3 linked regions of the Neodiprion lecontei genome follow. The protein of the gene in region 2 purifies or fractionates together with the protein of the main gene of each other region. This does not show direct contact. Links are inferred from orthologs where the notes say so. Each region holds a gene or a part of one and is shown on either strand. Other genes may lie near its edges. The genes, in order: mRNA turnover protein 4 homolog, nucleolar GTP-binding protein 1 and ribosome biogenesis protein NSA2 homolog.

Region 1 (9,949 bases), on a different chromosome or scaffold from region 2:
TTATTTTCGTTATTCTACTAACAACTATATTATATCATATCACATTGCAGGTGTGAGCGATTTTTTGCATTGCAATTGTGTAATTAACGATGGATCAAATTCTTGTCATCGATTTTGTTCTTTGACGGGTTCGAAGTTTCTTTTTCGTTATTCGCCAGATGCGAATTATTATCGTTGGGTATGTGTATGCGTGTATGTGCATTAAGCAACGTATATTATAATGTATTTGTAGTGAGTCTACATATACTGAGAACACACGTACATCTGAGGATCGAACGATATTACGATGTAGAGTATTTTCATCTCCGCGAAACTATACGCATACATATATTGTAATATAGGAATACGTAAAAACGTTTGAAAAAAAAAAAATAACTGGCAGTTTTATACACACCGTATTTAATTGGTAAGTTATTTTTTCATTCCTCTTCTTCAGATTACAGCGCATTTTGTGTTCAAGATTCAACAACGGTATGAAAACTATTGTGTTATAGGTATATATAAAAATATATATATATATATATATATATATATATATATATATATATATATATATATATATATATATATATATATATATATATATATTCATATACACATGCATATAAGTGGAACGATTCTGACGCACAATTATTTTTTCTGACATAGTTAATACATAAACTATATATATTCTTTTAGAATGAATAGTTTGTACTGACGTTTTCTCTCCTTTTGTGAAATGTGTGCCCAACGCGATGATGTTTGGTTTGATATAATGAGCGTACTAAAGAAAAAAAAAATGTACATGCAGTATATTTTATACTCAATGAAACGGACGCAGCATGCGGTTCAACGCACGCTGTCCATCGCACTATGCGTGTTATGCGCGTATGTAACTCGTTGCTGATACTACAGCACCGAACCCAAATTCTTAATTTGGGAATACGAGAAATGACACGATGTTCAAATCCAATTCGATTCAGTATTGGCTAAATACACACTGCACTATACGTATCCGAACCTTTATTTTTTGGGAGGGGAGTAAATAAAGGGAAGTAAGAAATAGAAAAACACATCTGATCTCTAATGTGAACTTTTACGAGAGGGAAAATTCTTTCACATCCAATGACGTATGTTAATATAAAAAACGGAAAATTTATAGGATTGCTCCGTTTTCCTACCGCTGACGGAGTCGAGAACGCATAAATCTGACGTAGTTCATCAGCTAATGATATTATATGTATAAGTATATTTAATCAAATTTGACGCGGTTAAGATATGAATTGAATTTTTCTTGCGAAGTTTTAGATATAACGTATTATCGATACTCTATTTTCAGGTTTGACCGCGATCATCTGCATGTGCGATAAATTCCGAATAAAGAAAAAGAGATTTTCGCCACCGCCGTAAGATATCTGTCACTGTCACGCGATATGAACCGGAAGTATCAACCCGTAACAAGATTTTGCTGACCGTTACAGCACAGATTTTGCGTTTGATATAATATACATACCTATATAGAATCGTATAAGTAGCAGGAACGATGGTTACGGTAAATAAATACATCGTAGCGATTTCAGACATTAGCTAGTTGTGGAAAATTTTTTGAAATTATAGCATCTTTACGCAAGTACGGAAAAAGTTATTTCAACTTCGAGCGTTAAAGAATTATTTGCATCTACCGGGGATATAACGACGAAGAGGAATAGTAACTCAAATATGACGAATACAACGTGCCCAGTGTACGCACAGAGAAACAAACAACGAGAGGAAAGAAAGGAAGTGTGTAAAGAGAAACTTTAGTCATTACCCATGGCAATTGCCTTATATTATGCACGTATGTGAGTGCGCGTGTGTGTAACAACCTGGTTGAGAAACTCGTCGAGATATTCGCGCCGAGCCTAATATGAATGCATCTATATTATAAAACCGGATGTGACATATTGATATGTTCGAAACAGCTTTCGCGTAGTCGTAAATGAGACACATACGCTACGCGGAGTTCGCGCATTGCATGCGAATCATTGCACCCCGCAGGTATTACAAATCGTCGGCGGGTTGCACAAACCCACATTTACTATTTTCTACACTAGCAGGCATTACGCTTGATATAAATTAACGTGTCGCATCATCCTCTCTGGCACGTGACGTCACGGCTGATAGTAGTAATTTCCATACGGATTATCTCGGCAGCGACGGATCTAAGTGAGCATGCAACAACGCCGAACTCGGCCGAATGCGTTCAGAAATGATAAAGCAAAAAAACAAGAAAGAGATACATTTGGAAAATAAATGTGCATGAAAATCACGAAAATCATAAAAATCTTGAGACGCCATCTGCTTATAGGCAAAGGCTTTCGACCTGCCTAGATATGCTAGATAAATCGCGGCGTAGGTACACGGCAGACGTGGGTCACACTACGTACGACACATAATGCATGCACCCACGTGAACGACGTGTGGCCTTGCTTTAATAGATTTATCCACCGTCATGTAATTGAGAATAGATTCTCTGACCAAATAAATTCGAACCAACCAGAATCAGGTGCGTGCGCTTGGAGAGGATAGAGAGAATAAAAAAAATAAAATAAAAATTAAACTTCTATGAAGCTAACAAAGAATTTCTTTGACCGTTGTTTGTTACATTGTGCTGTACGTACGTTGACCTGTGCCAAAGATTGATCTGCCAGGAATCCGATAGATCTTTGGTGCGACATGTAAGTGAACATTGATTTAATGCCGCATATTTGTGAATTTACAACGAGAATTTAAGTCACATGTAGCGATGCGGATAATATCTATTCCAATCCATCGATTTCAATAACAGCGGGGCTAATTAGTTCCCATTTGTTATTGATCAGTCTCGTACAGGTAAACTCACGGTAAGATTTACCGACACAGTAGACATAATTGACGAGAACTAATTTAGTCGCAGTTTTCATTCTATATCCTTTCGTGTGATCGTTAAAACTTTTTCCTGTTACATGATCGTAAAAGTTGAACTAAAAATGAAGTTCAGTTTGGGAAGAAAGGGAAACAAGGCCTGTTGGAGGTTTGAAGACCGGATTGAGATATTAAAGTACGTAATAAGGCGATCCACCTGGATGAGAGAAAGGGCGTGCCTAGTCGTAGGCGTTTGTCACGGTCAAGTATGCGACGTACTTCTACCAAGCTACAACTACGTGTGGCTGCGGATAATTGCACAGTAGGTATGACGAAACGACAACGATGGTACACCGTTTATTACGAAGATTTAAAAATCCGAGGACACGAATCGAGGATTGGAGAAAAAAGTGCGAGCGGTTGGCGAGAAAGAGGGAAATAGAAGAAGGACATCTCCGATTTCTCATGACCATATAAGGAGCTAAATTCTTAAAAAATGATCGCTCATAGTACGAGTAAAATATGACAGTTTGACATGCGGGTATTGAACGGCGGTAGCACGTGGTTAATGATAGTCTGACAGTCGATAAACGGTGAAATGCCCGAGCACTGTCAGACAGGGATACGTTAAATGCATGTGAAAAAGTTGGACATTTTTTTCGCCGGCAACCTGGCAAAATGGCAAAATGGCGCCCCTGGCGCCTGAGACACTCCTATTAAATGCGTCACTCGAGCCGTACCCTCCGCGGCTACATTCACGCCTATCGCCTTTACTCTTTAGGTACGATCTCGAACCGGAAGATTTAACCCGTCTACTTGACACGGAAAATCAAAAATGCCGTCATTACTGACTGGCTCGATTATCCTAGTGATAGGCGCACGACGTCAGTATCTGTATGGCTGCTCGTTTATTCGATGTGGAAGCCGCTTTCCAAAATTTCCATCATCTCTAGTTGCTACGGGGTTCACACAGCCCGCAAACGACGTTGCGCACATTTAGCATAAAATTAACACTTCTATCGTATGCACGGAATCTCCGGTTAGCGAGGATTCGGTTTCGATACATTTTTGGTTAAAACTCACCTTTTGAATGCAGAAAGTCGCCTGGAAAATCAAGGCTTCAGCGAATTTCAACGACTCCCGTCTAACACGATCTCACAGAGTGCACTGCCGCTCACCGCCGGAAACCGCCATTTTAGACTACGTTCGATTAGACACTTCCCCTACCATCGATCATAACCTATCTTCATTCGATACGCGCACCGTTTTCAACCCTTGTGCGATAAACATCTTGTGTAATTTTCGAAAATTTTATTGACATACACAATACCTCACCGATGCACTTGCAAATTGAATAAAAATGAATTAATTGTGAAGTTGAATTCAACGTAACCAAAATGGCGTCCACGTTTCCTCCTGACTGTTTACTGCGTGACATTCGAACCGGTGCTACTAGCACATGGTTTGTTTTTTAAATAGTACCTCAAAGTAATCAGACCGTCTGAAAAAACAGAAAGTGAAAGATGCCGAAGTCCAAAAGAGACAAGAAAAGTACGTAAATCACCTCAAACACTATCGCACAAGTGAAATCTGAACCGTTGTCCAGATATTATTTGCACATAACCTATAATTTGATATATACATGCTTGATAGTCGTAACTGATTTTGCATTTGGAATTATAAAAAATTCTCTAATACTAACAAGTTCTTGTAATTATTGAAAAATGATAAATTTTCGTTTTAATTTTCAGTCACACTTACAAAGACCAGCAAGAAGGGACTGGTTCTGAAACAACAGATCGTCGAAGACATCCGTAAATGTGTAACAAAGTATAACAGCATTTTTTTGTTCTCCGTTCAAAACATGAGAAATAACAAACTTAAGGACATCCGGGCTGAATGGAAGGATAGCAGGTTCTTTTTTGGTAAAAACAAAATCATGGCGCTTGGCTTGGGCAAATCTCCCGAGGAAGAAGTCGAAGATGAAATACACAAATTATCTGCCGCTCTCAAAGGCCAATGTGGGCTCCTTTTCACCAACAGACCTAAGGATGAGGTACTTGATTAATGAAAATGGCAATATACAAATATATAAATGAATTAAGCAAATATATCATATAATTATTTCAGTATTTTTAAAGGTTTTTTTATTTGGGACAGGTCTTGGACTGGATGGAACAATATGGTGAAGAGGATTATGCACGCTCAGGTTTTGTTGCAAATGAGACAATAACAATACCTGAGGGACCGATGCCAGAGTTTGCACACAGTATAGAACCACATTTGAGGCAGTTGGGACTTCCCACATCGCTTCAAAAGGGAGTTGTAACATTGCTCAAGGATCACGAAGTTTGCAAAAAGGGCCAGACACTCACTCCAGAACAAGCCAGAATACTGGTACAACATTTGTATTTGTTTAGCAGATGTTTTCAAGTATATAGATAATTCCATTATAAAAAGCTCAAAGGCTTCGGTTATGTACTCTTTTTTTTTTCAATTTGCTCTTCTGGAATTTTAATGCTAGTTCCCTCAATTTTCCATGAATGAAATCCAATACAAAATTTGAGAAAAACTGAAATCCACCCATGCATGTCACAAAAGATTTCTCGTGGAATTACGTGTATACTTTACAAAGTACCAATTTACTGAATTCAGTATGGAGCATTATTTTTGTACCTTCTTACAGAAACTCATTGGCAAGGTATTAGCAACATTCAAGTTAACGCCTCTTGGGGTATTTGTCAAGAGTGAAGGATACATGCCAATTGCTACAGATGATAACGATGATAATGAAGATGACAATGTAGAGATGGAAACAGAAGACACAACAGATACCTGAAATCAGAATTAAAAATGACCTAAAAATGTACATATTGAATAAAAAATTGTTTTTCCATTTTTGCGGTTTATCATTTCTTGAGTTTGTGAATAAAACCTACAATTCTTTTCTCTTATCTCACATTCCAGAATATCAGTGACAGCAATGCGCCGAGGAAACATGCATGTTCCAAAACAATCTAGTCCTTGAAATCCTGCTAAAAAAAAGCATGCAGTTATTAGAAACAAACGATTTTGAAATCTCTCGTCAGCAGTGCAAATATCAAGATAAATTTAATGAAAAATATTATTACCAAATAATACACAATATTTACACATTGTACATACTCATTCAATGAATAATGAGTTGCATATTAGGATTCACTATATTTTGGATCGTCGGTATGACATGGGTGAGTGAAATAATTAAACGAAATTGTACCTTTTATGTGTATAAAACTTTGAAAAAACTTTTTATTACAATTTCTGATACCAATGTGAGAAATCATCGGATCTAATCTTGTTAATCAACAGATAATATATCATTGGCTGAATGGAACTGTTCCAAAATCTAGTTGTGAAAATTCTAAAAGAGTGGCATTCAAAATCACAGCAAATAATCATAAAAAACGAAGTACTACTTCTGTAGAATCATGGGACATTTCTGATAATGAGGACAACGGAAATGCAATCACCAGTCACAATGAGCTAACGACGTATCGGGCTAATTTTATTTAGCAAGTAATCTACAGTTTTTGTAGTGTAGCTGAAAAATGACTAAATCTCAATGGTACTGTTTGTATAGTATCTGAAATGAATTCTGGTATGGTTGAATTGAATATCAGAGTGCTATTTCAAACTTTTCGACGCAATTCGTCTGCAAACGAGTACAAATAAATTTATCAACTACTTTTACAAATTGATAATACTAAAACGGTTAATTATTTTTTTCCCTTTATTATTTGAAACTTGTGTAGATTACAAGATATGATTATTACATTGAATAAACTGTTGCATAGAGAGCTTGATAATATTTAGTTCAAACTTTCATATTTAATTATTTAATCTATTTACTGATAAGGTTTTCTTGATAGTAATAGGTTTTGAGCTCAAACTGCATTCCACTTTGAAAAGGCATAATTATTCTTATCCTCGGAAGATACCTATTGTTTGTTCCCATGCGGAGTGAATAATGTTTATGTAAAATAGTGAGTGAATTGTAGAAGAAATCTTGTCAATTCTTTTTGAATGACGTTAATCAAAATAAATATAAATACGTAATATATCTTATTACGAGCAACTTGCTTTTTCAATTTGGAATGACAATCGTAATAAGTTATATTCCGCTCTCAATGTGTTAGAATTTAAATAAGTTCGACATTCTAATAGCAATATCAGCTCTCTGACAAGAGGTTTTCATTAAGATACATTAATTCATGATAATTATCACTAAAACGTATCATTTATAGGCAACAATTATGTGACGACACTGAATGTAAAGCGAAGTGAGCGAATGAAATATAGCTGTGTACACGTGTTGTTCATGTTCCTCAAATCACAGGAATTCAGATCGTCATATCGACTGGAAATTACCTAAACAAAAGGATCGGTAATAACAAGAAAAACTCGAAATATCGAATTATTTATCAGGTAATATCAAAGAAATAGTCGAACACATATTCTAAAATGAAAACTAAATTTTCTTACTAGATACGATAGTATAATACTTAACTAACAAAATCAATAATACCTGGTTACGAAATAAGTTTATATATTTTACATAATGTGACTTACAGACCTGACTAATTTATAACCTGAATAATTTATAATATATACATGTCTTACTAAACGATAATCAATTATTTCAACCAACATATAGTAATTTTACAAATTCTAACTAGATGTGAATGTCTCAAATCTTTTTTATTCCAGTGCCATACGCTTCCAATTTTCACATCAAATTCTTTTTACAAATAAATACAGAGACAAAAATAAAATTAAGAAATTATCGAAGGGTTTTATAAATATAAAAGTATGATTATCTATGTATAATATAAGTGGAAAATGATCTTTGGTAAAGTAATTACGCATTGCATTGTCAATCAGCGTTGTGTAATTACTTGATGACAAAAATAATACGGAGAGTAATACACACAACAATAAGAAAATATTAAAGATTGAGTTATTTTAATCAATGTCAACTATTATCATACTTTATCACATGAAAAATAAAATGTCACCTCTTCAATTTTTCTCTTAATTTTCTCACCTTTTCAAAACTAACAGTACAACATGTAAATTTATAAAGAATTTACCCTGAAATCTTAAGAAGTAATTCATAATATATCAAATAAATTAAACAATAAATCTACAAAAGTAATTTAGATCCGTTTCACTTCGTGCAACAATTTGAGCAGATACTAAATTTAGTTAAATATAACTTTATCTATCCCCTTGCTCGTAATATCACAATCCAAAAGTCAGTCCTTTTATGTTCCAACTCACCATGATCAATTTGTAACACCAACTGAATAGAAATCTCATTTAAAGAAAATAAATAATAATTGTCTGAGTAACATGGACAAGACAAGAGGTAAATGTTATACACCTGAATTATTGGTTTACAATCAAAACACTTTCAGTGAAAAGCTGGCAGTATGTCGTAAGCAACAGATACTAATCTTTTACAGATTCAATTTCTCATCTTTCTTAAAGCAAAAGCAAAACACGTTGACGACGTTTAACCGACTCTCAGATTTCAAGTAGTATTGATTTTATTCAAGTAACTGCCGGCTGTTCCTGCTACTTAAGCTGCTAGGTGCAGTATGAAACCGGCGTGACGTATGCGATGCAAGGAACTAGTACCGAGATTGACAAATAAATAAACAACTGAAGTCCACAAGTTACGTGTTTCACTATGTATCACCTATATTGGAATGTTTTTGGAATAAACAACGTAGACTATGTGTTTTCATAGCGTAAAGTAAAGTAAAAGTGGTCGTTCATTTGCTAGTCATTTAAAAAGAAAAAAGAACCGAAATAAATATTAGAAAGCTATGAAAAATACGGGGAGTCAATTCTTTCATTGCAACAAAATGTTTCTTCTTCTTATAGTCAATGACAATTTTGAATGAATAATAAGACAAAATATTTCGTAGCAACACGTCAGCCGGATCATCAGCTGCATCAATACACAGAGTATAAAACTTAGCTAGACAGAACAACTGTTTTAATAAATAATGAGCGATTTATTATTGCTCAGGTGTCGAGTGAAGACGTTTATTGCGTGGTTTGTGTCTCAGTGCTTAGTACTTCTAGATCCGGCAACTCAGGAATTGGCTCTCGCCAGTAAGCAAAATTGCTAAATTCGTCAGTTGCATCTTCAGGCAGGGGGGGAAATAGATGATCTACAATATAGCTCATGTTCGAGTATCTGAAATATAAAACAGAGATAGTAAATTTTTACAAGTTTGGCTTACCACGTGAACATTTAATTAACACATGTAATGTATGCAAGCAGTAATGATTTAGCAGCAGATAAATTATGTGTAACACACAGCACTTCCTTCCAGGCTCAATGGCATTTAATTTATAATGCCAGTATTTTCCACCGGTTCAGTAATGTTCGTCTGAACTGTGTTAAGAACGACTGTTGTTTTACTGCTTAAGCAACAATGACCGTAGTGAATTTGTGAAAATGAAGGTTCAATGGTAAGTATGTAGACTGTCTCGTTCCTAAATTTGAGCAGATTACCAAGTTGTAATAGAGGTATGAAAAGAATGCGAATAGACGTGGCTTGTGAGAATGTACATGAGAGAATATCAGCAACGATCGTTTGTGATATCAATTGGTAAGTTTTCAATTCTATTATGGTATTAGAAAGTCAATGAAAATATTTTGAACTCATAAAAACATTTTTCAATTAAAATAATTGTAAGAATTAGACGAGTAGCCGAGTTACAAATTATCTAGTGTATACTGAGTGCACAATAGTAGAAAACTCAATAAAATATGACAAATTTCATCAATTGCATGCCATCGATAAAAGGTTGGATTAGAAATTGTTTGTATGAGATACGTGAATAAAAATTATCATTAAGGTATTAGATGGATTTGGACACCGTACCCTGTGAAACTAAGCTGATGCACGAATGCGTATAAACAGCAATAACTACAGTTTTGTGATTTGTGTAAACTAACGTACTGGAAGTTCACTGGAAGTACTTAATTGCATATGGTAATGAAATCGGAAGATTTAAGCAATACGAG
Region 2 (11,606 bases):
GCAATCGAAATTCCTAACAACGATAACGATGAACTAATAAACTAAAACCATGACGAGACCCACTATCGGGGACATTATCAACTAATTCCATTATCATAACTAATCATGCCACGCATAGATACATTTAGTTAAGTACATCGGATATATATATATATATATATAGCATACCTCTAACGATAAGATAGGAATAAAGAAACACCGAACCCTTATGCGGGAGTGACAGCTAATGTACGACGAGAAAGTACACCAAACAGATCCCTTAAAAGAAATGATGCCATACGAGAACAACGCTTTAACCTGTGTGCAAGGGAACTACCACAATGCGAAATAAACGACAACCGAACTGATTCAAAACTATGGTGATTGCAGCTCCAAAATGTACATCATAGACCTTCAAGGATTTCACGGGGAAAATCATGTCTTCATGATAAAGGAAATCGCAGTGATGAGTTGCTGCGAAGGACCAATACACCATTCGATAGTCCGTATGGAAACAGAAAAATCTACTCTTCCGCCAGAAATCCAAACGCTCAACCAGCAATTAACAGATCACCACCATGGGCTCGATTGGCACGATGGCACCGCCGTTGCCAGTGACGTAACTAAGGCATTAGAGGCAATGTACAAGAACACAAGAATCTACTTAAAGGGCTCAGATAAGGTCGAAACCTTAAGACCATACTTCAACGACATAGTAAACCTGGACGACCACGGTTGCCCGCCCTTAGCGGCGATTAAAGAAAGCGGAGTACCCTGCATCCAACATTCTTTTATGGATTTTAAATTCAACTGTCTACTCCGCAACGTCACAGCATTACTTCACTGGGTGAAACAATCCTTCCGCGAGCCAGTAAACTGCGACAAATGGACAAACGAACCTAATCGGCTCCCACAAATAGCAATGCCAAGCTGTCAACGACGACGGGAGACACCGAAACGAAGGGTGCCCGAGTTATATAAGAAAATAGCCCTGAATTTACTGGGACACATCGTTAACACGATCGAAAAAGTTTGCAACGATCCAGAATAAAACCAACACCCCGTCTAAACCCAAGGGACATGCAAGCAATAAAAAAATAATAATAAATACGCGTCACCAGTCCTCTAACAAACCAAATACCTAAACCGATAATCAGACTTGCAAACCCCATATAATTATGCCCACTCGATAGCCCAGACATAATGAATTCATTTGCACCATGAAAAGAATTTGTTGAACTCATAACTTTACCGAATTGATAATACTGACGCCTATACGTTGTAACATTACAGGGCTAAAGATGTACGTTATCGACATACAAGGACTTGGAGGGAAAAATAACACGTTCGTCATTAAAGAAATCACCGTGAGAAGGTGCTGCGGAACCGCAATACACCACCTTATCCTCATCACAAAGACACATGGGACTAACCTACCCGCGAAAATTCAAAGGACTAATCACTGGCTGAAAGAGTGTCTCCACGGCCTTTCCTGGGAAGCCGGATCAAACACCCGCGCTCAATTGGAGGAATTAATAAACTCACTGGACGCTGAGGAAACTGTATACGTTAAAGGCAAGGAGAAGCAAACCATACTGCGCGAACATTTTAACACGGTAATCAACCTAGAAGATTGCGGATGCCCAGGTATATCGGACATAAAAAACTACGGAACCCCGTGCGACGAACATTCAAAATTGAACCCGGACTTCAACTGCTCATACCAAAATACCGCAGCCATGATGTATTGGCTGAAAACAAAATTCTGTGGACCGGTGCCTTGTAACCGATGAAAACCCAACCCAGACACCGCTTTAAAATCACCTGTGGCTAAAGACCCGGCGAAACTAGATCGAGCACTCACCGCAAGGAAAGGGCTAGACGTCTTGGAACAAGTAGTCGAAGCAATCAAGAGAATTAATTGCAATATTAAGGAAGACGAAGCCTAAAATAAGAACCACCCATCGCACAAAACACTGACGAAATATAACATCATCAAAATGTCCTAACCTCCTCCACAACCACACATCCTCACCAGAGCAAAAGACAATTCTATCGAACACCAGAATGTTCATTAATTACAGTCGATTTTCTGTTACGACCACAGAGGATCGAGATGGATCTCCGGCTAGCAATCCTGCCCCAACTGATCTGGATGACTATGGCCCTAATCGCCTACGACTGCGGATCGAAAATGATGAACCTGACCACGGTATCTCTCCTTGAAGTAGGAACATGCGACCTGCCGAAACTACAACCTGTAACTAGCACCATCGAAATGCAGCTCCTAGAACTCACCGACTACTCAGAGGCACGAATCACGCAATGCAAGGTAGAGATACATCGATCGATCTTTCACTGCGGAATGCATTCGCATATTTCGGCAACTAGCAACGGACAACTCGAATATATACACTTTGTATCAAAAGAAGAATGCATACAAATGCACCTGTACAAATCGTGGAGATTCGGAGTTAATAGCATTATATCCTAATTAAAACCAAATGGAATAACGACAAAAACCATATCACTTGGCGGAGCAACGAATTTTGACGGGACTTGCGAAGGCATACAATACTCCGACGAATACGGAACATGGAGCGACGTAATAGTCCAAGGATACGTAAAGATCAGTCTAGCCGAATATACTGCAAAAATAAACCTAAATTCAAATAAAATCATATTTCGATCTGGAACAACGTGTGACTTCAGCAACGGTAATTGCGTTGCATTGCGTAGACAATAAAGGAGGAAACACGTTTTGGGAAACCTTGCCAAAGGATTCCTGTCAACTAGACCGATACGACGTCTTATACGAAGGCAGAGCCATAAAAATCAAGAACAGCGATGAAACCTATGACGAAGTATATACAACGCAATTATATATTTCACGGGGAAAATCAAAAAAATTTTATATGTGACGTCGGAGCGGTACCTGGTGGAAATTTCCAGATATTAGACACCGGAATCATTCACACAGCTACAGTCAGACTCACATCAGTAGTTTGGGTCACCAATTACCGATAAAGTATTGAAATACACCGGACAACGGGCATTCTGTCGCTCTAATCGAACTAACCGAGGAAGGAGTAATTATTGGATAAAAGATTTAATTAATTGGCTTACCTCTTGAGAATACTCTGGATATGATGACTTGTAGCGTAGATTGGTGAGAGCATTTAACGGAATAACTGATTCTAATATATTCGGATACTTTGATTAACTTGGATTTATTTTATAAGTTCAATATTTCAAGTCACAAAAACGGAGTTACTTAGTGTAAGATCTTAAATTAATATGACAAAATGGAGCTGAAAGCTCGCTGGACTTTTGGGCAGAGTAACGTTGTATGAAAAGTTTAAATGCAAAAGGCAAAAGGATTTTACCGCGAGACTGTACCCGAACAAGATGACGAATCTGGTCATAGAAACCAAGTGGACGATCGGATGATCGGTCGCCGTTTTTATAGGGGTCGATCGTTGCGCAGAACGATCCCCTTTTTTATATTTTGTCACCTTTTGCGCACCTCCCCCTTTTTTTAGGAATTCTAATTAGGGCACGCCATCTTCGCCGCATGCACGCCTGTGATCTTAGTTCATTAGCTACTACTATATTGCAAGTTTTTACATATGGTATAACGCTGCACCGGTGCGGTGGTGTAGGTGCGGGGTCGTTGTTCTATAATTTTCCATTCTGCGTGAGCTTTGTTGTTGGGGCGCAAGCCCCCCTTGGCCCCTCGGCTACTGTGCTTCTTCCCGCCGTCTCGTGCTTTCGGCAGCTATTTCCTAATATGGTAATCGCAGTGCGGATGCGCTAGTGGTGACTCATGTTTTATGTTAGTGCCGTGTGCATTTTCGGGCTCACGATACGCTTAATTCTAGTTCCTGTTTACTTCCTAATATTCTTACTATCCTGTTCGTTACAAAGTCTATATGTCATATTGGTTACTCGTCGTTTGTTAGTTTTATAGCGTGTATCTATATAAAATTACATATGTAATATAATCGATTACTGTCGTTATTCACCTGGATTATAATAGCGATTGTTTATGAGACATAGTTGCTGTTTGCTTAACATTATTAGAATCGCGCTGCTGCGAATATTCTTAGGTGTTTGTGTTATAATTATCTTAACAAATTTAGGGTATTTAACAATTTGATAATCCATAGTTTTAGAGCAGGTTTACATGTGTGCTTTCGTATATAATTCTCTTCTGTAATTATTAATTCTTATATTGATATAAATCGGCTTGGAAGCTTCTAGAACGTTTTTCTTATGTTTGTTGGTTGCCTGTCATTGGGCGTTGCCACGTATGCATCTTTGAGTTTATTGCGAGTTGATTTACCTTCAATCGTTTCGTCGGTAAGTTTCCTAATGTGTTCTCTAGATGAAGCTCTGTATGGCTCCACATTGGAGATCTGCATTGCCTTCAAAACGTTGCGCGTGTTGCCTACAATACGGCGTTACGGAGGAAGGTACAGTTCATGCTGGATAATTAGTATTCACGGTTTTGAAGGTTTTGCAGTCTCTGGTTTTATGGATTATTGCAGCAGTGCTATCTTTACATTATATTGGTTATACATTTATCTATGGTTTTACAATCTTCCGTACTCCAGGTTATATGGTATAGCGTAAGTCGCTTATAGTATAGCTCTCAGCTCCGAATGCACAAATGGCATTGTCGAGTGCTATATAATAATTGGATATAATCGTGTTAGTTAATTATGGTGTTAATATGATAGTGATATGTAATAACGTATAATAATATTATAGCTCTTTGTAGTGCGAAGATCTCGTTAGTGAATGTCATAGTTATTTCCATCTAGGGATATTCCAAATAGTTAGACAGTTGTTTTAATTCCTTATGGTTACAAGATTCTCATACTTCGAGTTTGGTTAGTTGATAAAAGTAACATGCAGTAATAATAGTCGATAAAACATACGGACGTTCCGGTTGGATGTTACACTATGCTGGTAACTTAGTTGATTTATTATCCCACGGAGGGCGCGACACCATCTTTCTTTTCGGGAACGTCGTGCAGCACGTGCGTGATGGAATCCCAGTAACATTAGCAATATTCTTCATATATTTGCTGTCACCCAAGTGACAAATCATCTGTAAAAATGGCTCTGTATAATTTCAAAAAGATCGCCGTTGTCCCGACAGCCAAGGTAAGCAGATCCTCGATTGAGCGTCGAATCTTAACCTAGTCAAAAAGACACGTTCAATTCTGATGTCAAGCCAGAAGTACTAATTTCATTCACTCTCTGACACTGCACAATAAATCCCAAATAACGATCCGCACTTCTGTAATCCGACTCGTCGACTCACTGATTCAGAAGTCTTGAAAATTGAAGTTACCAATATTTTTAGGTTATCGACATGTCCACACCGTTATTTTTTCGAGGATTAATAATGTCATCTTGTCTGATGTTTTACAGGACTTCATCGATATCATCTTATCCAAGACTCAGCGCAAGACACCAACCGTCATACACAAAAACTACAAAATATCAAGAATCCGTGCATTTTATACTCGCAAGGTGAAATTCACCCAGCAAAATTTCCACGATCGCATGAGCCAAATTATCCAAGAGTTTCCAAAACTCGACGATGTTCATCCGTTCTATGCCGATCTCATGAACGTTTTGTATGACAAAGATCATTACAAACTGGCTCTGGGACAGATTAACACTGCTCGCCACTTGATCGACAAGTAATTATGCTTCTTTTTCATAATTCGATTTAATACTTTTTCCACATTTGCTCGTTTCAAGCTCGCGAAAGTGAAGAACTTGTCTGTGTTGAAATTTAATACGTCTAATTTTTTTAGCGTTGCAAAAGACTATGTGCGTCTTCTAAAGTATGGAGACTCCCTGTATCGTTGTAAACAACTGAAGAAAGCTGCGCTGGGTCGGATGGCTACCATAATGAAAAGACAGGCTGCAAATTTAACTTACCTAGAACAGGTTCGGCAGCACTTAGCTCGATTGCCGAGCATTGATCCGTATACTCGCACGATCATCATTTGCGGTTTTCCCAATGTTGGCAAAAGTAGCTTCATAAACAAGGTGAATTACCTCGTAATCTGGTTTGCAAATGTGTCTAATTATCGCTAATTTTTCAGCAACAGCTTTTGAGACATTGATTGATTTTATTAACAGATCACTCGAGCGGACGTCGAGGTGCAGCCTTACGCGTTTACGACAAAATCACTGTACGTTGGACACACAGATTATAAGTATTTGCGCTGGCAAGTCGTAGATACACCCGGAATTTTAGATCACCCATTAGAGGAGAGAAATGTTATAGAAATGCAGGCTGTCACAGCGCTTGCACATTTACGTGCTGCAGTTTTGTATTTTGTTGATATATCTGAGCAGTGCGGCCATTCGTTAGAGGAACAGGTAATTTATTCAAAAGAAAATATCACCGACTGTGACTTTATGTGCATTTGTGATTAAAACTTAATTACCTATGCAGGTAAAGCTTTTCGAGTCCATCAAACCTTTGTTCACAAACAAGCCACTGATGATCGTTCTGAATAAAGTTGATGTTCTTCGACTGGAGGAGCTGCCGGAAGACAAACGTGAAACTCTAAAGCCTTTCGAGGACGATCCTGACCTTCCGGTAATTGAAATGAGCACAATTACTGACTATGGGGTCATGGAAGTCAAGACTCAAGCCTGCGATCGGCTGTTGGCTCACAGAGTCGAGCTCAAAATGAGAACGAAGAAGGTAAAGTTGTGGAACAATAACCATGAAACAGAATTTCTCGCGAATTTTGCTCATTATATTTATTCAACAGATGGAATCTGTCCTGAATCGATTACATGTAGCTCAGCCCACTGCCAGAGACCAAAAAGCGAGGCCACCCTGCATTCCGGAAAATATTCTCAAAAAGAAAGAATTGGCAGCTGCAAAGACCGAAAGAAAGAGGAAACTGGAGCGTGAGATCGAGGAGGAAATGGGCGACGATTACGTATTGGACTTGAAGAAAAATTACGACATTGAAGGGGACCAAAAGTACGACATTATTCCGGAGTTCTGGGAAGGCCACAACGTAGCGGACTACATAGACCCCGACATTTTCGAGGTAACCGTCGATTGAATCGATTTTAGGAAGCGAAAAATAATGCTGTAAATCATATTCCCATTATTGTTATCCCTATTTTGTTATGCACAGAAATTGAACGCTCTGGAGCAAGAAGAAAACCTGCGGGAGGAGGCAGGCATTTACGATGCTAAGATTCCGGAATTGAGTGAAACTATGCGAGAGATTCGCGACTTGGCAAAACAAATTCGGGACCGCAAAGCCATCATGAAAGACGAAGCACGAATCGCAAAGGCCTCTACTAAGCCTGTTATGCCTCGCACAGCTGGCTCAAAAGTGCGAGATCGTTCCGTCACCAAGCTCCGTGATCAAATGGAAGACTTGGGTGTTGATATGGAGGGCACAGAAAATGTAAGTTGGCATATTCCTCCAACAGGCGTATGAATATGAAATATAAGAAAGAAGTGTTTTAGGTAAAAATGCAATGAACATTTTATCGTTCTTCAATCATTCTCCATTATATTCGACAGGCGAACTTCACCAGGACCAGAAAGAGATCTAGATCGCAATCGCAGCCTGCCACTAAAAGGATGCGACTTCAATCCGAGTCCCAGTCTAGAGCGCGTAGCAGTTCTAGACCAGCTCGTAATGATATGGGAATTAAGGATAATGTTGTAAGTGCTGAAGTTTCATTTTTTAAGTTCAGCTTTTTTTTTTCTGTAGTTTAATTACACACTCTATGTTTCTCTATCACAGATGAAGATGAAGTTAAAAAACATAGCACACAAAGCAGTGGCAAAGAAAGTGGGCAAAAAGGGATTGAAAGGAGAAGCCGATCGATTCATCGGGACAAAGATGCCGAAACATTTGTTCGCTGGGAAACGAGGAGTCGGAAAAACGGACAGGAGATAAATATATATTATATATATATATTTTTATATCAGAACTGCTCCACCGTAAATACATATGTATACGCGTTATACTTATGTAACTAGCAAACTTTATTTCTACCTAGAATCAGCGGAAACTAAATATCCAGGCATATACTTGTGAAATTCGATTCTTCATTAGCATTATCAGTGGAAAATTGCGAATAAATAGCATTACATAATCTATAACGATAATAAATTAAGGATAACGATCAACGAAAATTTCATCTAATTTCGCATTTGAGCCGACAATTTAACGAGTGTTTCTGACATTGAGTAGGAATGTTGTATAAAAAGATGAAAGATCAACCAAATGAAAGAAAATTAAAACAGTTTACATACTGTAAAATAGAAATTATTCAATAACTTCGGTGCTACAATTATAACGATAAATTATTTCACCGCGCTTTGCAGTAAATGTTTGGTGTTACATAACGTAAGGCGATTCATTCGGTTCGAATAAGGGATAGGCAGTTTATGGATGACGAAATCCGAATCTCAGTGTTGTGACACGAGGTAGCGCCGTTGCGGGCGGAAGTGTGACTGAAGTCGGCTAGGCCTGCTTATAAATAAGGCAACAAATGCAGCAAGGTTTTGCGCTCAAGATATAGAAGTGAATTTACAACAATTAAAATGAAATATACAATTTTATTGACTAAAGCGAAGTCGGGGTGAATATATTTGTCGAAAACATCGCGGCGCTACCTCGTAGTATTTTCAAGTGACGCCGTCGCCATGTTTGTTTTTAGTATTTGAGGAATGAAAAGTGAACGCTAGAATCGGTTTGAATAAATACTCTTGAAATTTGGTGAAACAGCGGGTTTGTCAGAAGTGACAATAGTGTCGATGATTTCCGGAATATGGTAAGCACCCAGCGTCCCGCTGTTATTGTTTATTTATGAACGTTTTTATGTTGTTTTTTTTTCGTACAACAATTTGATTCTCTCGCGGCTAGTGGAATGAACGCATAGTAGCTGCCTAGGCACAAACACGCCTCGTATATACGTTCCAAACTCCTTTCTACACCGACGAAAACGATTTTCGGAACGAGCTGCGGAACGCGATATTCAAACCTTCGATCGGAAATGAGGTTTGCTTACGCCAGACTCGTTATTCGGCCAATATCATTGCCGAAAATATCCGTCGTTTCACTCCAAGCTCTGCGGAGGCAGCCGCACGCCGCTGTAATCGAATTATCGGGACATTCGATTCGCCGCCAATATTATACCCCGTAAAAATCATCAAGTAACCGCAACGGCAATGTCGACTTTTGCCCAATTCCCCAATTCTCAAATTTTCCGCATTGCAAACTCGGTTTAATCGATATTTCATCATCGCGTTTAATGCAATAGTTGATACGTTCAATGCGCGTTCGAAAAATTCGAATAAACATCTAAATTATACTTCATTCATCGACACAACGAACTTTCCCTACGCAACTTGCCGCTCTTTTTGTTCGGTGTCGTACACGTTAATTGTCCCTCAGTTCGTACCGGTTCTTCGAAATTTTCCATGCTTCAGATAATCCAACGCGCGTTATTTTTACACGCAATTATTTTATACCGTATACCTAGCAAGCAAACCGCGCTGAACCAGCAGCCTCAACGCTTTTTCCTGACTCTTCTACACTTCTAGGCACACATGCCAGAAGCGCAGGTGTCTATAAATAGATCTTCGTACTCTGAAAACGTCAATTAATTTGGCGCTAAATCCTGGAGTCTTCCAAACTGCAATTCATCGTATCTTTAAACATGTATTTTGATAAATAAAAAAAAATAATGAAAACCAATTTTATTTTGACAAACCCAAAAATTTTTACATATGCTGTTGAAAAGAGTTCACAAACGTTTATAAAACAATTTGTTTCACGTTATAAACATTGTACCTATCTTATAAACAAAAGTTATTCTCATGTCTTTGGATTTGAAGAATAACATTTTCAAGCATTCTATAAACTATTCACACTTTTACTTCTACCTTATTATGTCATCAACTGATTATTCATATCTTGTCGCTCTTTTCTGCTTTTTTACTCTTGAGCATGTAATGACTGGACACGTAATTACAAAATTCATTGTCATCCAAACAATAGATGTGTGAATTTGTGCTACAGAAAGTAAAATACAAGAGACGTGTACTGAATTTTAGTCCAATATAATATTGAAAAAGATCATCGTAGCTCTGAGTGTAATTCAAATGTAATTCATGCGTGATTTCTGTATTAACGACGTTTGTCACATGATGCTATTAGGTCGAACCAAGCACATTTATTAGCCTTGTCATTTCCGTTCTCGACCAGTAAAGTATCCACTGATTACCAGACCGGATCCTTCCCAAACTGCCATGTTTTGTCCTTCCAACAGCTAGCAAAATTCCCAATGAATGCGGGGATGTAAATTTCCAAAAAAAAAATCCTAATTTTAAGTCATCAAAACACGCTTATTTACAGGCCATGCCTTTGCATAACCTAATTAATTTTTTCAACAGACACCGTCATGAATTAACAAAATACTTTTTCAATTCAAAGCACCTTACAAATAGCATATTGAATAGTTGAAGTCTATAACGCTGATGTAACTTTAGATTTGATTAAATGGCCTTAAACTATGATAAAGTAAAAGATGTATTTACATTACATTTTGGGAATTCAACTCCTTGGAGGCATTTTAAAATAAGAAACAATGATTTTTTTGTTTCTGTGTCGCGTCATCTCAACATTGCTAATTCTAATCTCATAATACATGCGGAATCTATCTGTTCATCTCTTCTGTCTATCAAGTGACGAATGGCACAGAGTTAAATGGGGGAAAAGCAGGGACCACCAACAATGTTGAGAGCAATCAATATCTCGAGAGCGTGGGTGAGTGGTGGGGGTAGGAGTTGTCGGCTTTTGGGGTCTGAGGGTGGCTGTTGCTAAGGGGAAATAGTGTCAGTAATGAGCGACCTACCCTCCCTCCATTGCTTTTTCCTAATTCCCTGCTTCCCATCTTTTGTGATCTGACATTAAAACAAGGTCAAAGATTGCAATGTTGATATAACGATGCACCATTTTCAGAAAAAATTGATATATCTCAACTCTAAGATAATCCTGAAATTTAGTAAACCGTGATCGATAAACATACATGCATTTTTTGGTTCATTGTTACAATACTTTAACTTTAACATTGCCAACTTTATTCAAGGTTGTGTCCACTGCAAACAACCTTGTACCCTATATTTCCAACATGATATCCAATGAAGTGTTCATGAATATTCGATGTTCCATATCTTTATGATTGTCGTTTATTATACTCCTTTTCTTCGTTTTTAATTTATATCAGTTGAGGCAGCAGTCTTGCCATTTCATTCTTATCGATAAATCGTTGATTTGAATATCATGCGAACAGATGACAGTGCTTCACTGTCAATTCGCTTCTGTAAACAAATTTTCATTCGACAGATGCTGAAATTTGGTCATGATTTGTATTTGTGAAAAAAAAAATTTAAACATCTATTAAAATACATATATATATATATAATAGTAATTCAAAACGTATATTCATATCGATTTATATCTGTATATGAGACACAATGAAATTCACTGCAGAATTCAATTATTTATAGTCTTTATAAAAGAAACTGAATTTATTTATTGATGGATTTC
Region 3 (10,764 bases), on a different chromosome or scaffold from region 2:
CGATTCGACTGAGAGTTGAATGGAGATTTTTTTATCCTCCTGTGCGGGTAAGAGCGAAGGTACATAATCTTCGTCGTCAGAAGTAAGGCCAAGCTCATCACCATAGCAGGCATGAACGAGCTGCCACATTTCGGTCATGCTCATTGGCTGACCTATCAGTGCATTTTGCCAAACTCTGAAGAGCATAAGATAAGCTTTGTCCCTGGCCCCGAATGATGTGAGAAAAAATTTGTCCGTTTCCGTACAGACTAGTATAGCATTTGGTATGACTAGCGCAGTTTTCTCCTTCGTTATTGAGGCGACGTCCTTCCAACGCAGAGATACTGACGTTTCCCATGAAAATATGTTTGCATAAAAACATATGTAGTTTTGGGATACGTACAATCTTCCATGAACAAGTATATCTCGCTGCAGGGCGCAAGAGTAATCTGAAAGAAGTAGGAAATTTTTATTATCTAACTCTAACAAGTTTTAATACCTTTATTGTACTATTAAATTTTGGATTTATTTAGTTTTGTTAGACTTTGATTACACATAACTTGGAAAAACACAATTTTTACGTTCCTGTTTATCAAAACCTATAGAATAATTCAAGATTAATTAGAAAATTTTCACGTCTTGTTGAACTCAGTCTCAGCAGTTAAATTATACAAGAAATAAAAGTCCACAGAAAATATTTTGTGAATTCAGGGGAGAAGTTGGAATACTACAAATCCCTGTTCAATAAAACTCAATTTCAACCACTTACAAGTACGACTAGATGAGTATGTAGGCTACACTAAGAAATATTCTCACCAACAACAAGTCGTTCATCATCCGGAACGTCTTTAAAAATCCTTTTAAAATCCTCAGATCGTGATTTATAAGTTGGATAAAGTACGTTATACCATGATGACTTTTTCTTGGTACGATCTCCAGCTCTGGTTTCCTTTCTAACTTCGTACGCTGAATTCCGTCCAGGTTCGGCAGAGTCCGAAGATCGATTAACTGCTTCCTACGATGCAAAAAATGTTTAATAAATTTTGCAAAGGATGCACAAGAATGTATTGAACAATCTTCAAAGGCCAATTCCAAAGATACAAAGTCTGAGTTATAGTATCTACCAAAAAGTAAGATTTCATTGATTTGATTGATTTCGAAAATTACAAAATTAATTTACCTTTTTTCTTTTCATTAAAAAATTGTATTTTGCAACTCATTCCTCTGTTCATCTCAATACATAGAAAAAATTCTTTCGGTCCTAAGATAATACCTGGTTTTGTTGATCCTCTAGTTTGCTAGGGGATATATCTTTATTGACGAAATTAGCAACATCCGAATGAGGTCTAGAGTGATCCCTCTTGGTATAGGGCCTGGGACTTGGCCAAGGTGATGGAGTAGGGCTAGGTGAAGGGCTATTGCAACCTGAGCCTCCCCCCAAATTTGTGTCAATCAAGTTAGAAGCCGATCCATCATTTCCACTGACGCCGATGGTTAGATTGGCATTTGTCAGCGACAGATTGTTGCTAGTTATCGAGTCGTGGCTGGAAGTGGAAACGTTCTCCACCGACTTGTTCCTGAAAGTAAATTTCATGCATTATTTTTTTTTTCTGATATCCCTAATGATGAGTAGAAAAATAATGAGTCAATATTTTGCCTTGTCCACTTCAGAATTTCAATCGTTTGCTTCGTTAACACTGAAGCCAGTATTGTTGTTATGTACTGTACTTATTGTTAAAATGAACAATAAAAGAAAGATGAGCAATTGCAAATAGTAATAATTGTTCCGTTGGTGTTTTCTCTTTATACAGTTGCTTTGTTTACTTTTTTATTCCATTGTTTTCGAGGAGTCAAGCCGCGTATCAATATATCTCAATGTCGTTGAAATCGCGAATGACATTAGATAGGCTACTATGAACGACAATACGAGGTAATAATTGAGAGATAAGGCAATGATGGATGGGAGGTGGATATAGGGTAATTGTCGTAAATAGACGGATCAATGCTACGCGTCTTTTAATACAAGTAGAACAATTTTTTTTCGTTGTCGCCAAGCAATAACGACGACGTTCTGTTGTCATTACCGCAACTCGGGTTTCCCCGCCTTTTCGATACTCGGAGGGTACAGAACATGCGGATACAGGAATTACTTAAGCAACACTTACATAATGGAGGTGGGGTCTCCTCCCGGGGTGGCTGAATCGTTCTCGTATAATATTAGAAGTTCTGATGCAGCAGGACCGAAATCTGTAATGTGAACTGCCATCTGCCACATTATCGGCAAACGTATCAGCGGTAAACCGGATAATCCCTGCTGTCAACAATTGTTCTCATTGTCGATAATAATACACCGCATTTAGGGTCATAATCTAAATTTCATCTGATATAACTCCTCTGACGTTCGTTTATTTCGAACTGTCTACTATAACTACTTATCGTTACAGTGCCGATTCTACACAATCTTCTGTTTCGATTAATTACCACTGGACACGAAACAAAACACCTACCTTGACGTTTCACATGTTTTGTTTTTTATTTCTCCGTACGTACGCACTGACTAATGTCTCAGACAATAAGGTACACTAGGGTAACGTACACTTTGCGTCTTATTGAATTTGTCAATGATTATATTACACCTGTTTTCATTATTGTAGAATTTCTATACGACCCCACACACAGCACTTGCGCGATGTGTATAAACACCAAATCCTAATTATTTGTGTATACACTTCTACGATCGTTTGTTTTTCAACGTTACTTTCAGTAAAGTTTTTCGCTCACTCTCGATTGATCTACCAGAGACGCGCTTTCCCCGAGACCAAATTTGCAAATGACGAAAAAAATTTGTAAAACTCTATATCTGCCACTTTACATGCCCGCACTAATAATAATGAGATACTTCACGATCATGAAGTATGCAAATCAAAGGAGATGCTAGCTTCCCGGGCACCGGTTGGTATCTAACTGTGGTAGTTAGCCAGTATCAGGTGGGTCATTGCGATTTTTCACCGCGGTAGCGCTCATGTTGTTTCAGTTCAGCGGTGTTAATAACGGTAACGTTAGACGCGAACTGTAATAAATTAGTGAAAAAGTAAAAAGACCCGGTGGGTAAAAATATCAAATATTGTTCCCAACCACTTCCTAACCATAAAAAAACAGGGTAGAAACGAACAATTGTTCAATAGTGAGAAAACTTCATTTTTCACGCAATTCAGTGATCCCTGGGTGATCCATTCGGGATTACTTTTATTTATATTTTGAACTGACTTGTCTAGTGTCATATTTGCAATTGTCATTAGTAAATATGATAGCAAAAAAAGAAAGAATTAGCTGAAGGTCGAGGGATATGATAATTACTATTGATTGAACTGATTATCCGAAAACAACTAATATTTTATGTTTAAATTTTTTTTTTATTTTGTCGTTATGTATACGGGATACACATATTATTTATCTTCAGGCTTGTTGAAGACGAGAGTATAGCCACATTTTCCGCAGTAATGACGGTCTTCCATGGCTGCCATGAAAACTCCGGCACCGCATTGTTCGGAAGGACATTCTCGTCGTAGACGATGAATCTTGCCATTCTCGTCGACCTAGAAACAGAGGAATTTGAAGATTTTATTCAACTATACACTGTTTTGTTTCTTTTTCACATTCAGAATGGAATAAAGGAAATATGCAACTGTGAACACATAGTAATAATTAATGTACCTTGTAAAACTTGAGGACAGCAAGCTTAACCTTCTTCTTCTTGTGCTTGATCTTCTTGGGGGTGGAGTAATTCTTCTTCTTGCGTTTCTTGGCTCCACCACGAAGGCGGAGTACCAAGTGAAGCGTAGATTCTTTCTGGATATTGTAATCGGAAAGAGTTCTTCCATCCTCAAGTTGCTTGCCAGCAAAAATCAAACGCTGCTGATCAGGGGGAATCCCTGAAGAAATCAAAGCAAATCGTTACATTTTTCTTCTCTTTTTTACTGACTATTTGATTTGTGGCCAGAACTTTCAAGATTCCCTCTTTTCGAGTACATTTGTTGCGCTTAATCCTACCCTAGTGTGTTTAATAGTTAAATGGTACAATTTGATAAAAATTTCATCTTCTTGGTATTTTCGCTTAGTCCCAACTAAATTACCTTCTTTATCTTGTATTTTTGCTTTCACATTTTCAATCGTGTCGGAGGCTTCCACCTCCAATGTGATTGTCTTCCCAGTTAAAGTTTTGACGAATATCTGCATGATGGTTATGGTCTAGACCAGCTGTAAAAGAAAAACGGAAAAAATATACATGTGTCTACATTGAAATCTCACCCTGAAAATGTGTTGGCTGGGAAAAATAACCATACAAAAATGATACAATTAGAAATTAGAAAAATTGGGGAAGAAAAAAAATTTGCCATATTTCAAAAATTACTTTATTTCACTTTTCATTTCTCAATTAAACTTAATGGTATACAGTGATTGAATACAAGTAGAATAGTCCAATGTTTGAATTAAATAATAAAATCGAAGAATATGTGTCAAGTCTTTAGTTTGGTTTGCTATGAACAGTGATTAAACTAACAAAACTGCATTAATGCAGCCGTCGTTTTCGGGATTATTGGTAACTTGGGCATATTTACCCCATACAACTTTACCGGACTGTGTAACAAGCCCCAATTCGGAAATATTCACTTCAATAACAGTACCCTTAGTTATAACGCCAAGAGTTGTGTACATGGCTGAGCTCGGATTTTTTTTAACACCAATAATTGGGAGACAGAATGTGGCTTTTAGTTCTGGATGAGTAACGTGTGCCTTCTTGAATCTGAGAGCCATAGGTCTGATGAACCTCTCAAACTTTGGTGGTTTCCTGGTAAAACTTTCACCAACAAATGTTACTTTTGTCACCATTCGCTTCCATGCTTTCCGCTTGGATTTTCCAGTTCGCATCACCTTGAACACCTCTGAGTCTGACTGTGCCCTTACTTTTGGTATCGGGACATCCCATTTACCAGCCTTTTCTTTACGTTTTTGTTTTATGAGGTTGGATAAGACTTTCGCGCGCGAAGAAACGTCCCTGTCCAGCAGGTAAACTGGAAGCGCTCCCTCTGGGGTGGGTTCAGTTTTCTTTCGGACATTTTTCTCCTCGTGAGCCTTGATCTTCTTTTTCATCTGGATCTTCTCATTGCGGCGTTCTTTGTTAAAGATCTTTGCCTTCAATCCTCGCAGGCTGCGTGCTTTTTCTGCACGTTTGTGAGGTTCCCTAGCCTCTCGCTTACGCTTGCGTTCTTCATAGTCAAGCCGCCTTCCATACAAGGTTCGGAAACGGTCCATATACTCATTTTGTGGCATTTTGTTTTCTTACATCTGCTTGCTGAAACAGAAAATTTCTATGTCTTTTAATTAGCACATGTCGATGTTCAGATTTGGACAGTTGGCTAATTGATAATTACATATTTTATATATACTTGGTTTGAAAATTTACAAATAAATTTGATCTATTCTTTACAGCAAAGAACTTACCTTAGACTTTTTTTCAATCGTCGATTTCACAGATACACAGACATTACCTGTCCAACAATTATTTTTTCTTCGATCTCCCCACTTCAAGCCAAGGAATACAAAGCCATGATTTCTGGTTCTTGAAATTGACGCAACTTGTGATAACTTCTTAACAAACTCAATTTAATAACGCTAATTGAAAATATCTAGTTTTGATATAAAATTATTCAAATTCATTGAGTAAATGGAATATTTGCTTTCACAACTTCAGCAGCTACAACCAGACTGCCCAAATCTTGAATTAAAACGTACGAGTCTTATAATATAATTGCGTGATCGTACAAATATTGAGATTTGCAGACTAGCGATTGTGGTAATATTGTAGAGCGCGAAACTTGTACCGGTACAAATGTTACGCATAAGCTAAAGATGTACCCGAATCAATGAAGTAAAACTGTTGTATGACAGCAAAAAGCAAACATATCAAAACATAATAGAAAAAAAAACAGTAAGTTTGATGTAAACTATTTCATGAAATACTTTGGATTAGAGTCCAAAGGTTCGCCAAACACTGCCCCGTGAGAATAGCATGTGGGCGATTGGTGACGGAGGTTATTTTGTAGAAAATGAATGCTGCGAAAAAACATATGACCTTTAGCTAAAATTACATACATTTCGCTATGTTTCTATTACAAATCAGCGACTACCGTTGAAGATCGTTAGATTTCAATAGTCATCAGCGGTATCGCCAATGCATTTTGTAATGGAGAAGAGCACGCGCTGGACCGACCAAGTGGGCAGAAAAACGTGGCAAATGTCAGGATTAGGTAAAAGTAGTATTGGATCACAGCAGGATCGTTTTCGCGCATTTACAACAGCAGTTAAGCAGTTTCGATAGATAGAAATGTCGTTCAGGGCGTTAAATACCGCAAAATGTTAAGTATTTGAATGAAAATTAGAGAAACATATTCTAACTCACCTACAGCCGACCACGCCAGGAACAGAAAAGACCGCCGAGTATCGAAGCGGCTTAGAGGGAAAGTCGAGTGGATAAGAAATCTTTCTCCCCTTCTTGCGACGTTCACCTTATGCCATGAACCACGCAGATGCTGTGCGTTCCGTCGGTAATGCGTTAATACATTGGTATTAGACACGCTGCAATCTATTCAGTGATTTTATGTATGTATGCACACACAATCATGAATGCACAGGTCAAATTTCAATGTCACCATCGATTTATCTTACGCATTAAATCTACTATAATGTGCTTGAAATGATTGTTTAAATCGATACATAGACCAAACAGTTGACATAACGACGATTTCCATCTACCTTGTTCCGTCAGAAATTTGCATATAATATGTTTTTAGAATCAGTTGTACAGTCGGGAAAACTAAATGCTTCATTCGTTTTTTATATATACGTGCATAATTATAGTACGTCAACTATTTATTTAACGTTTCAATCGAATTTCAATGAGAGTTTCAGTCCTGTTCAAAGTTTTGGCTCGCAGCCACCAGTGAAGCGCTGTGGACACCTAGCATGACGAATCGTCAAAAGTTTGTGTCCGAAAAACTGTCACCAGATGGCGACAAGATTCTAAAGAGTTCCGGCGTTCTTTGCATGCGCATCTCTGCTTCTGCCCTGTCGCCCGTTGTCACCAATTCCAAGTTTTAGCGCCGCCAGCCGCGAGCCTAGACTCTAAATAGTTTAGAGATTTTTTATTAATTAAAGTTAATCGCAAATATGGGAGGTGACGAAGGCATCGGGGTTACAACAGGGCAGCCTAATTTATACAAGCAAGATTTATCGAAGCTCGTAAGTTCCGGCGTTAGCTATCCGCCTCGATTAGATTATCTTAGCCGACATATTTTGTACAGGCTACTGCCACTGCTGCTTTAATTCTCAAACATATTTTATCCCCTGGATATCACATTCCAGTTTGACGATGTTCAATTATTGCTTCGAAACATCGGCCGATGCTTTGCACTGATTAATTTTCGGAGAACTCGCTTAACAGCACTTTAACGTAACCTCAAACATCTATTCACGCGCTGTCCTTACACACGGTTCCGTATAATGGCGTGGCTTAGGGCTGGTTAAGAACTTCGTAGGGCCTAAACTTTGCTTTGAAATTCGCTATCCATGCATTATCATATTTACAATCAATCAACTAACTGTAATCGAGCTCCCCACATTCCCCTAGCGAATCGTGGCGCGTTATGGAGCGATTTTACGTGAACGTGCGATTTCACATGACAAATGAAAAAAAAAATATCCGTCCAATTTTGGAACGCATTATTCAAATGCATTGAATTAACGGATTCCTTCACCTGAATATGGGATAGAAACAAAACGACGCTAGGTTAGGAATCAATCACCTCATTATCTCAAATGTCAGATGGACTTGGGAATAGTTTTTTCATACAATATGTTGTAGGTTTAGAACTCATGGATTCATAGTGCAAACGAAAAATATTCACACCGCTCTACAGGAATAAGTGTATTTAACCCAAAGTAAATATTGTAACCAATTTTGATTAGCAAAGAACCAATGCACCTTGTTTCTTAGTGAAAGAATTCCAAGCGCATTTTTGTTAAATACCAGTTTAGAGACTTGCTTTCAGATATTGCTGGTTTAGAAATCAATATAAATGATGAATGAGTAAAAACATGAGTGATATCTTCTGATTTTTTTATAGTATTCATTTGAAAGCTTTATGCGAAGAATTTTAAGAAAGTTATTGATAATAAGACAAATTTGGTACTGAAATTAACCGTGAAATCATATAAACCTTTTTTTATTTCAGGATGTTGGTAAGTTGACTGCACTGTCCCGGGAAGTCATCAGCCGACAGGCGACGATAAACATTGGTAAGAACAATTTTTTGTGAGAAGTATCTAAACGATGTTATTAAAATATTAGAAACGACAAATTATACATGAATGCTAATTATTAAAATTACCTTATTATGTTTTCAATACCATTAGCATTCAGAGCTGATTAAATTACAATTTTCATTATTTTTCCACAGGAACGATCGGACATGTAGCCCATGGAAAGTCAACAATCGTCAAAGCCATTTCAGGCGTGCAAACTGTACGGTTTAAAAATGAGCTGGAAAGAAATATTACCATCAAACTCGGTATGCTTCACTTGAGAAATTATTTCAAATGTCTAATATAAAAATTTAGTTGATGATGGTATTTTTTTATAACTAGTAATAAGTACTAACTAAGTCATTATCGTATTATTCCTGAATGATTACTTTCAATTATCTAACCTTGTAGGACATGGAATGCTTCTAAGTTTTATTGACTTCTAAGAACTGTCCAAAACCTAGGCTTTCCTACGAATGTCTTCATGTGAACATATCTTGTTTCAATCAACTGGAGATTGTATACAAAGAATGGATACTCATTTTTCAACCCAAAACTTTACTTGTTGATACTTTGCAGAAACAACTCATAGCATCAAATGATCTCATTGCATGCATTAAATACATAGCACATTATTAAAAATAGTATCCAACAGTCGGGAAGGTCAGGATATTTAATCAACGAAATTTCACACAAAATCCAGGGTTCGCAATGCTTTTAAGCCACGTAATTTTAGGAAAAATAGAGAAACACTTTGTGAAAATAACGGGCTATTAGGGTTTCAATATTTTTTCATAGTATTTACCAAACAGAGCAAAATTAGATACACACTAGGGTGTACGTCATTTTGGTAATTTTGAAATTTTTTTAATTGTACCCCAAAAATGTGTTTGAATTGTAGAAAAATAAAATCCCCTGTAAATATAAAAATTTTCGCACAATATTCAGACGTACCGGAGGATGACTGAAATTTTGAATGTACAATACATTTAAATCTTCGCTACATATTGATTTTTTTTTTGTACAAACTAAAATGAATTGAAAACATAAATTCGATGGTTGAGAATAATGTTTCTATTTTCAACTAAATGTAGGATCGAAATAATTCGGGGGTAGCGTAAGTATTCCGTAGATAACGACACTCCATGAAACCGTAAAAATTATGGTCTTGTGAAAAATAGGTTACTTTCAGGGAAATAGGGGATTAATGTGTAGCTCGAAAATCTTGAGCAAACTTTACCACAGTCCTCAATTTTTTTAATTTTCTGCCCGTATCCGAGAGATATTTGACGGTGTTTCATTTTAGACATTCAAATTTTGTCGCAAAGCTTCTCATTTCTCTTAAATAAAATTCGTTCAGAAGAACAAAGGCGATACAAATGTTAATGAGGATAAAAGTAAAAGATATTGAAAAGCGCAAAAAAAAAAAAAAAAAGGTGGAAGCAACCCCACGTATGAAAGTGAAGTAATAAAGAAGATCGAAGAGGAAAAAATAGCATGTAAGAACGGAAAACGGTACCTATAATAAGAGAAGGTGCAAAATTTGGCGTGTCATGAAAATAAAAAAAAAAATAAATGAATAAATAAAAGAAACACTCGTGCTGAATCCTAAAGTAAAGCACAGGGGTCGAAAATAGAAACGGATCATTCACCAAAACAATGAAATGGTGAAAGAAATATCGATTTAATAAAAGTAAATAATCTTTGTCTCCTCCATGAAATAGAACGGATGAATCACGCCGTTTAAATCTTTGGCATTACAGAGCCACACCATGCGGAGGCGATCAACAAAGAAAATGGAAAAAACAGTGTCGAAGAGGCAGATCCTGCGGATAAAAGCCCGCCTCCGATCTCCAACTCGAGTACGTCCCAATTTACAAAAAAACGTGCTATATTTCGGAGCTCTGACGCAGAGCGTCCTGTCAAGATACCACGGCTTAGCGAGGGTGATAACGATAACGACACCGATGATGACAACGACAACGAGGATGATGACGACATTATTCACACTGTGACAACAAACGGTGAGAATTCGCCCAGTATACCCGAGGAAGAAGCGGCAACGGGAATTGAGGGGCGAATCCAGGCTGAGAATTTGGTGGCAGTCGAAGTAGATAAAAGAACGAAGTACAGTTTGAAAGAAGCAGTGATAAAACTTGAAGATATTGGTACAAAGATAAACGAACTTAAATCGAGTATAAAATCTTCGAACAATCGCGAGGATTTACACGAGGTGGAGAGAATATTAGATAAAAGATATTCAAAAGGAGTTGAAGTATACGCTGTGAAGTGGAAAGGCTGGGACGACAGCTTTAACACTTGGGAACCACTTTCGAATTTGACAAACTGTGCCGAACTGTTGGCAGCTTTTGAGAATTCAAATGCCGGACTGGTTGACACGTTTAAAAACCAGATCAATTACTA

The links.
Region 1: the proteins of nucleolar GTP-binding protein 1 (region 2) and mRNA turnover protein 4 homolog purify together in Homo sapiens (affinity purification with mass spectrometry; 3 studies listed by BioGRID and IntAct, counting the BioPlex papers as one, with this or other methods). This does not show direct contact. The link is inferred for Neodiprion lecontei from reciprocal best matches to the Homo sapiens genes GTPBP4 and MRTO4.
Region 3: the proteins of nucleolar GTP-binding protein 1 (region 2) and ribosome biogenesis protein NSA2 homolog purify together in Homo sapiens (affinity purification with mass spectrometry; 3 studies listed by BioGRID and IntAct, counting the BioPlex papers as one, with this or other methods). This does not show direct contact. The link is inferred for Neodiprion lecontei from reciprocal best matches to the Homo sapiens genes GTPBP4 and NSA2.

Annotation. Positions count from the first base shown.
Region 1 is NC_060261.1:34,233,920-34,243,868, forward strand, and holds mRNA turnover protein 4 homolog, read left to right. Parts: upstream 1-4,206; 5' UTR 4,207-4,385; coding exon 4,386-4,413; intron 4,414-4,613; coding exon 4,614-4,918; intron 4,919-5,022; coding exon 5,023-5,259; intron 5,260-5,548; coding exon 5,549-5,701; 3' UTR 5,702-5,760; downstream 5,761-9,949. Other genes in the region: phosphatidate phosphatase LPIN2, read right to left, coding at 8,959-9,112. UniProt on the Homo sapiens protein: Component of the ribosome assembly machinery. Nuclear paralog of the ribosomal protein P0, it binds pre-60S subunits at an early stage of assembly in the nucleolus, and is replaced by P0 in cytoplasmic pre-60S subunits and mature 80S ribosomes.
Region 2 is NC_060263.1:16,124,770-16,136,375, reverse strand, and holds nucleolar GTP-binding protein 1, read left to right. Parts: upstream 1-4,990; 5' UTR 4,991-5,103; coding exon 5,104-5,151; intron 5,152-5,421; coding exon 5,422-5,696; intron 5,697-5,813; coding exon 5,814-6,051; intron 6,052-6,144; coding exon 6,145-6,387; intron 6,388-6,463; coding exon 6,464-6,718; intron 6,719-6,788; coding exon 6,789-7,076; intron 7,077-7,166; coding exon 7,167-7,445; intron 7,446-7,564; coding exon 7,565-7,708; intron 7,709-7,790; coding exon 7,791-7,946; 3' UTR 7,947-8,020; downstream 8,021-11,606. UniProt on the Homo sapiens protein: Involved in the biogenesis of the 60S ribosomal subunit. Acts as a TP53 repressor, preventing TP53 stabilization and cell cycle arrest.
Region 3 is NC_060264.1:30,366,201-30,376,964, forward strand, and holds ribosome biogenesis protein NSA2 homolog, read right to left. Parts: upstream 6,500-10,764; 5' UTR 6,440-6,499; intron 5,333-6,439; 5' UTR 5,311-5,332; coding exon 4,531-5,310; 3' UTR 4,376-4,530; downstream 1-4,375. Other genes in the region: protein Aster-B, read right to left, coding at 1-428, 796-994, 1,253-1,556, 2,145-2,254; ubiquitin-40S ribosomal protein S27a, read right to left, coding at 3,426-3,575, 3,694-3,911, 4,113-4,215; histone-lysine N-methyltransferase SUV39H2, read left to right, coding at 7,207-7,278, 8,271-8,334, 8,496-8,606, 10,104-10,764. UniProt on the Homo sapiens protein: Involved in the biogenesis of the 60S ribosomal subunit. May play a part in the quality control of pre-60S particles.